2 linked regions of the Oryzias latipes genome follow. The protein of the gene in region 1 interacts with the protein of each later gene in a biochemical or structural test. Links are inferred from orthologs where the notes say so. Each region holds a gene or a part of one and is shown on either strand. Other genes may lie near its edges. The genes, in order: fgfr2 and fgf7.

Region 1 (3,819 bases):
CAGCTCTGCAGAATCAATAGACAGCGGGAACAACAAGTGGAGTGGGATAAAGATAGCAGAGCCGTGTTTGTCAGCTCGGTTTTTTTGGCGTCCCTTGGCCCATTTTGTGAAGCTATCAGTTCATATCGGAGCTTTTCTGCAGCGGTCGTTCAGATAAGGGCGGCAGACATGACGCTGCAAAGGTCTGATTCCCGTCCAGCCTCCGTCCCAGTTCTTACAACACTCTTCTGACTTTGTCTCTACCTTTTATTTTCTTCTGCTTCTCGTTTGTATGGAATCGCCATGGGATTGCCCCCCCCTCCCCCCCCCCCCCAGTTAGCTCTGCCTCAGACACATATTTACTGCAGCACTAAGGCCCCTCCATTCTGCCCTGCTAACCTTTTTTGTCCTCTCTGCTCCACTACAGTGCAGTGGGCAGAGAATTGGGAGGGAGGGAGGGGGGGGGGGGTTCCTCTCTCTGTTTAAATAACCTGCAGGAGCGACTCTCAGGAAGAGCCTGACTTCACTGGTTCAGACTGGAGTCTGGACGTCTGCAGAGAAACCAGCAAAAGGGACAAACTTTGAGTCTTTCAATTAGATTTGTGGCGCCCTGGAAATGAAACACTTTTGAAAGAGGCGTGCCATCCTGTGCCATCATGCCCCCCCCCCTCGCTGACCTCAGAGCCTGTCTGCCAAACCGCCAGGTTACTCGGAGTTCAGGCTTCACGGGACACCGCAGCAGGAACTGTGTTTGGTCACTCCTACGTTTGGAGACCGGCGTCACAGAGCTTTGGTCGGAGCTTCTTGGTGATAAACCAAATTTCATCCTAACATTCATGCAAACAGATCCTAAAGTTCATCGTTGCATCCATTTTCCTCTTCACTCTTAAAGTTTTTCAAATCACAGCATAAAGAGGGAAGCCTAAAAATATGGAAAAGATAGAAATAAATCTCCAGGAAGAAGAAAAGAATAATACAGTTTACTAAAGAAATGTAAAATTAAAAAATTGAATATCTAGAAACAAGGACTTCCACACAAACATTGAAAAACGGAAAAAATGAGTAATATTACAGAGCTTCCTCACACAAATGAATTGAATATGTAAATAAAATGCCATGTAGATTTTCTGTGGGTTTTCTTTCTCCATCAAGTAAAAATAATAATTCGATTCTATATTTATGGTTGCCGAGTCGATTCCCTTTCGATTTTGATTCCCTTTAAAAGATCTGATTGGATTGATCCTCTGACCTAAAGTGGATCCAGATCCTCTTGATCCAAACTTCCAGCAATGAGACTCAGACAGAGATTCCTGCTACTGAACAGTGAAGTTCAGCCCACTGTGGTGTATAAAAAAGTGTGTAAAACAGTGAAGTTTTGCGTTTTGACTCCTGCTAGCAGAACACCGATCAGACTTTGGTTATTGGTGGATGCTCTCCAAAATCAAGCAATTGGTTTTTTGAGTCTTAAATCCAGTTTTTCAATTGTCAAGAGTCTGGAGCAAAATGCCTTTGACCCCCAGTGAGGTACCTAAAACATGTAAACATGTCCTGTCCATCACAGCACTGAGAATGTTCCTTTCCAGGAGAAACACCAGCCAGACTCTGAATTACAGAGCTGTTCCTGTGACGACCTGAACCTTTCAAGTGCAGAACTAGAGCCGGGGTTTCTTTCTAAGATCCTCAGATTTGCACATTTGTCTTCTTTTTGCTTTCAAAGTAGTTTTAGTGAAACTTTCAGAGGCTTTCACAAAGAAACTAAAGCAGAAAGCCGCCGACTGTTGTCAGAGTTAAGGTCTCAACCTTGTTCTGTTTGTGAAGCTCTGGAGAGGGGCAGTAAACAAAGACAGACAATAAACAAGGAACTCTCTAGGAATGTGATGGAGGGAGGGGGAGGCGGGCTGGTGGGGGTCTGTTCTGATATACTTCAGAGAGATGGGAGAATGCGACTGACAGGAGCCTCCATTTCATCTGCGTTCCATCCGTCTAACGGCTGTAGTCGTCAGGATCCGCCTCCGACCAGCCCTCTGCTCGCCACAACTGCACCCGTGTCGTTGTTTTGGAAGGTCACTGAAGCCCCTCCATTAGATGCCATTTTCCCTGCAGTGTTTGGGGGCAGTAGGTGGTGGGGGCTGGCAGGCTCTTGTGTTTGAAAGGGGGCATTGTTCCACAGGTCTAGCTCTGTTTGGATACGTAGGTCAAATGTTTACTCGTACAAACGATTCCATGAAGGTTTTTCAGCGGCTCACATGTGGATCGGCCCCCGCTGCTGCTGCACGCTTTAGGGAGGGGTCTCTGCATCCTCCATCTGACATGAAAACACACATCACATACAAAAACACAGGGTGACTCCTGACAGTTCATGCTGCCAAGCTAAAATAATTATGATTAATAGGTTATTTAAAGCAAGTTTTCATCTGTAGTCCTTCAAAAAACACAAATACATTTACAATAAAATACAAACACAAACACCTCCTATAGATATATATCAAATACGATATGACAACATATAACCACAGCATCATACTATGAAATTGCAGTTTAGGATTAACGTGTTAATCTTTTTCAAACCTACATTTTTACACAAAAATGCAAAGTAAAAAATATTTTTCCTCAGGTTTTTGGATTTATTACATAATTTAATAAATTTTATAATATTCTTCCCTGTTTAATAAGTAATTTTTTGCTTTTTTTAAATTTGTCTTATCATTCTCTGTGTAGCCTTTGTCTTGTTCACATGCTGTAATACTTTGTTTAAAAAATGTTGGGGTGTCCTGGTTTGGAAGCTCTTGTCTTTATGTTCTGAAAATGTGTTTATATTCAAAAAAGTAAAAAGAAAATGGTCGTTTTCTCCCTGCAGAGCGGTCTCCTCACCGTCCAATTCTCCAGGCTGGTCTTCCCGCTAACACCACTGTGCACGTTGGTGAAGACGCCCGCTTTGTGTGCAAAGTTTACAGCGATGCTCAACCTCACATCCAGTGGCTGAAGCACATCACCCAGAACGGCAGTCGCTTGGGTCCTGATGGCCACCCCTACGTCAGAGTGCTAAAGGTACGTTCCACAATCGTTTGCGTTCTGTTTTGAGTTCATGGACGAAGGTCTATCATGTGAACTTGCGTGCTCACACATGTACGAGCCGGCTCTCGGCGGTGATTTTGGCTGTGTCCTGTAGGCCCGGATCTCTAGCTGTCATCACACGATCCACCTGAATTTGTCTGCTTGTTTGTCTGATGTTCCTGAATTGTGTGTATGGGTTTCAGCGTTCAGGCATTAACAGCTCAGACGTGGAGGTGCTCACCCTCACCAACGTCTCTGAGGAAGATGCTGGAGAGTATACCTGTAAGGTCTCCAATTATATTGGGGAGGCCCACCAGTCGGGGTGGCTGACGGTCATCCCAGGTAACCTTTGAGCATTGACCCCCCTCCCCCTCCCCAGCGTGGGTCCTTTATTGTTCTCCTTTGGTCCTGCTGGTGGTCTCGTGGTGGTCCCAGGTTTCGGGGATCTTCTCTGTCCTCCAGTGTTACACCCCTCAGGTTTCCCCTCTTCATCCCCCTGTTGGAACTGGTGCTGCCATGGAAGCACTGGTTGGGCTTGCATACTTTGACAACTACATAACTAGCATTTTAATTCACTTTTTATAACTTTTTTTTTTTTAATTTTACTCTTCTATTTGAAGTGCAAGTTCCATCCAGATGGTGAACAGTGCTCTCCATGCTGTCCGTGTTTTTCCATGCATGTGTCCACGTTGGTGTTTGGATTAGTGCTTCCTGTTGGTAGGCTCTTCAGGTGATGGGTGTCTTTTTGTGTTTTTTTTGGTGCGTTGGTTTTTGTTCTCTCAGGTT
Region 2 (4,310 bases), on another chromosome or scaffold:
TTCAGTAAGGTGTCCTACTTTTATTCATCACTCATTTCCCTCATATGAAATGTACAACTATAAGCTCTGCAAACATATTTGGCTACACGAAAATGACAATATTTTATTTCAGACATATACTTATATTTGAGACATATATAATAGCAACAAATAAATACATATTAAAAAGGGATTGAGAAGTAAAAGCCTTCAGAGAGTCCCAGTGTCAAATTCCAGGCAAGGTTTCAAACTTCTTAAAAAGAGGGTAACTTATTTGGTCATGGTTTTCAAAATAAGGTGTTTGCAAATGTGATATTTCTTTTGCTAATGCATTCAGAAGTCAAGAGCACAAGGTGAATGGTAAATCGTATATACTTATATAGCCCTTTTCTTCCTTGCTTTAAAACTCAAAGCGCTCTACAGTCACAGTCCCATTCACCCATGCACACACTTTCAGACACTGATGGCGGCTTTGTGGCAGCACAGAATGTCTCTAAGATGATGAAAGAGTCAGCCGAACAAGTCTGACCGGTAACTGAAAGGTCTTTACGACCACCAGTCAAGAAATGAGACGGAGACCTGCTGCAGCCTAAAGCCATCCACTCTCTGGCTGCAGTCCTGACCTTCCCAGGAGAAATAATCATTAGGGTCCACATAAACTTTTGAAGTGGCAGGTCTAAAGAAAGGCCAGGTATGTGGGGCAATAAATTATGTCTTCAAATACAAACACGAAAAGTGAAAGAGTGCACGACCCCTGACGTATAAATGTCTACCTCCAAGCAGCAGTGTCTTCTGTTTTTCTCTTCTTGGGTGGAGACCTGCCAAACATAACTTATTGCTTCCCACTATTAGGATCGATAAGAATTAGAATTGAGGACCTTCTTTGAAGTTTTTCAGCTCAATAAAGTCTTATCAATGCCTCAGTGCAGCCCCAATAACCCAGGAGATGAGCAATAACAGATTTCTAAAAGCTTTGTCATCATGGCAGATGTCTGAATCATGTTTGAGGAGAGCATGAGTCATTAAAAGATTGGCCTGAACCTTCTTTTTAACGTGATGTTACCAGATGCCGCAGCAAATTCTGCAACAATGAGTGTGGATTTGAAGTTCTCAAAGTAGTTGAGGGCACATACCAGGAAAAGTCTGGTATTCCAGAGTTTATAGCTCCCTCTCATGCCGGGTGGGTGAGTGACAGCGAGGCAGGCAGAGGGTGTTTCTCCACCGCATCTCCGCCAGGGACAGCTGACTGGTTGGGATCTAATTGCTCTAAAGTGAGGTCAGCAGGAGGCATTTATCTAAGCAGAGTGCACAGCAACAGTGGAGGATGCACAGACTGAGCCTACCAAGATCAGGGAAGCATACATAGGATTTGACAGAAACTGCCAGCTCCTGCTCCGCTGTACTGCATCCCCAGGCTTGGTCCACCGCTACCGCTTTATTCTAAGGATTCGACAGATTTAAATTCAGGCTCTAAAGGCACAAACCTCTGGAAACTCTTGTCAACACTCAGAGCACATGTAAGTCATCAAAATATTGTTTTATTTGAAAGAGAAATACAATATTGCATTTACTGAAATAGTGCTGACAGGAGAGATGACAGACCTGCCCCCCAATTGACAGCAGTATTGATGCAATATTTGTATTGGTTCAGTTTTAAGACAGGACGCCATGTGTGCGTCAGTGTAGACTAGCCTGATTCCGATTTACTATCGCGAAACACCATAAAAACATAGTTTAAACATTATTCATTTCAGAAAATTATTTAATTGTGTTTTATTTTTCAAATATTATGTGCAATGTTTATCAAAAACTAAACAAGTGTTCTGTTTTTAACAGCGGCATCTGATACAACTTTTAAAACTTGGATTATGACATCAATTGTGATCTCAAAAAGGATGAAGTGGTCAGTACACACCGTCACAGACAACTAACTAGAGACATCCTCTCCTGTTACTATCAGCCGTCCTTTTGTGAGACTTCTGACCAGCGAAAGCTCACACATACCACCAGGAATTCCTGCTCTGACCAGCGAAAGCTCACACATACCACCAGGAATTCCTGCTCGCGAAACGAGGACCCCAAGGTCAAAAATTAGGGGTCAGGGGGTCAGCGTGTTGAGGGACAGCATACAGCTCTCTATCATTTCTTTCAGTATGTTGTTCACTGAGCCCCACTGTACTGCATTATAATGCGCAAATGGAGGCTGACACGGAACCTTCAAAATCTGTTCTCTGGACTCTACCTGCATCTAATCTTCCTGTTTGGTGGTGTGTGTGTAGTCTATGGTGACTGCACTCCAGAGCAACTGGCTGCCATCAAGAACTGCTCCAAGCATGAGCGCCACACAAGGAACTATGATTACATGGAGGGAGGAGATGTGCGCATCCGACAGTTGTTCAGTGCCACAAACTGGTTCCTACAGATCGATGACTCCGGAAACATCAGTGGGACTCAAGATCGCACCAACTGCTACAGTAAGGAATCACTTTTTTTTGCACCTAAAATGTTTCTTAAGCTTAATAAGTAACTGAGGTGGAGTTAAGCAGATGGAGGTCTTGGCTGGTCAAAACTAAGCCTAAATTTGTAATCAAATAAACCAGAGATTCTATCAAACCAAAAAGTGTCAGGTCCCTGTGACCCCAGGGTCACCTGCAGCGAATCACATTGGGTCAGAATGATTTACTATCTCATACGTTTTTTATTTTCTTACCTACACATTATTAGCAACAATCTCCCATAAAAAATGATTTACCTAAAAGCTTCATTTTAAGTACAAATAAAACTAATTTATGACAGAATTGACCTGCTACAAACTACAAGGAATGGCCATTTTGTTGCTTGTGACCAAGGTTTCTCAAAGTTCATGTTTACAGAGATGACTAGAAGTCTCAGTCATAGTGAGGATGTTTTGGCTACTTATCATTTCCTCTAATCTGACAGCAGCAGAGCTTGGAATTCTGACTTGAACTAGAGCTACCTCATTATGAGGATGGTTGTGCAACAACTAGCAATGTAAAGCAGAAAAAATAGAACAACAACTTGGGGCTAATTGTTTTATTTGAGAGAAAAATAAGTTTGGCTCGAAGCTGCCCGTGGATCAACGGTTTAAAAAAATTAGTTATTGTATTATGTATATTTTAATCCATGTTGACAAATTGTGTAAAAGAAACATATTGTTTTTTTAATTTTTGATATTATCATATACCATAGAATCCTACACTAAACGTTTCTTCTGCTCTTTCCAAACTCACGTCTTTTGCTATTTAGGTTAATATGAGTGAAGAAATCATTAAGTAAAATGAAAACCCTCTTAGAACAGTCTAACAGAAACATTGACTTTAAAGAGTCTTGGAGGGTAGGTCTAGACTAGGGTTTTGGTAAAATGGGGCTTAGAAACATGCCTGCCACTTGTCTTTACATTTCACTCAGAATTGTGGGAATTACATGAAAACTATCAAACCACATCAAACTTGACGGCTGTCTTGGTTCAAGAAATATGTAACCCTGACCCACAGTGTCTGAAAATGGTACTGCAGTCCAATTTCTCACAATTGGAAAGCCCTATCTTTCTGGACCCTCCCAGATGAAAGGTCATGGACATTAAATCTTCTTCTGTAAAGTGCAACATTTACATTAATGTAAAGGACATTTTAAGGTAATTTCAATAAAAATGTTTTCCTTGACAGGAGTTGGTAAAAAAAAGGTAATTCCGCAAAACACCAAATGACCCCTAAAAATAATCTTGAAGGGAAAGAATTGCAGAAAACTGTACAACTTTGTTTAGATGGAGAGACATATTTTTCCCTCTTTAGGAGAGCAGCCAGCTCAGCATTGGCCTCGAAAGCTTTCTGTGCTGCAATCATCTCTCTCCATTTCTCAAAACCTTTTCAAACATGTACCGTCATTTATCAACCTTTTCCTCGTATCATTTTTTTAAACGCTAAGCCAAGGTTTTTTAGTCAAGTTAAATAGGTCAGGCCAATAGCTGAAGCTCTACTGTTAGTTTTGCCTTGATAATTGATGTTTTATCATGTAAACCAAAGGAGATCAGAGGAAGCGCTGGTTGGGGTTCCTAAAAGCAGCCTGATTTTGGCAAACAAAACTTGTTTCATGTCTTAAATTAAAACCTGTAGAGGAATATTGTTGATTTAAAATTCTGGATTAAACACAAAGTGCATTAGATGTCCCATCACAAGGTAATTTTAGGATTTATCGCAGACTTTGGCTCATTTTTGGTTTGTCATCTGTATTTTGAGCTTGATGTTGCTCTGAATACTAATGAATGTTGAACTTTAAAAACAGTTTCCATGTTTGTTGTTTTTATAAGAATA

Evidence for each region.
Region 2: the proteins of fgfr2 (region 1) and fgf7 form a complex in vitro, tested with the Homo sapiens proteins (3 studies listed by BioGRID). The link is inferred for Oryzias latipes from reciprocal best matches to the Homo sapiens genes FGFR2 and FGF7.

The regions. Positions count from the first base shown.
Region 1 is NC_019873.2:29,222,227-29,226,045, forward strand, and holds part of fgfr2 (fibroblast growth factor receptor 2), read left to right. Parts: intron 1-2,836; coding exon 2,837-3,027; intron 3,028-3,236; coding exon of another isoform or gene 3,237-3,375; intron 3,376-3,819. UniProt on the Homo sapiens protein: Tyrosine-protein kinase that acts as a cell-surface receptor for fibroblast growth factors and plays an essential role in the regulation of cell proliferation, differentiation, migration and apoptosis, and in the regulation of embryonic development.
Region 2 is NC_019861.2:12,855,010-12,859,319, forward strand, and holds the start of fgf7 (fibroblast growth factor 7), read left to right. Parts: upstream 1-1,253; 5' UTR 1,254-1,496; intron 1,497-1,815; 5' UTR 1,816-2,167; coding exon 2,168-2,453; intron 2,454-4,310. UniProt on the Homo sapiens protein: Plays an important role in the regulation of embryonic development, cell proliferation and cell differentiation. Required for normal branching morphogenesis. Growth factor active on keratinocytes.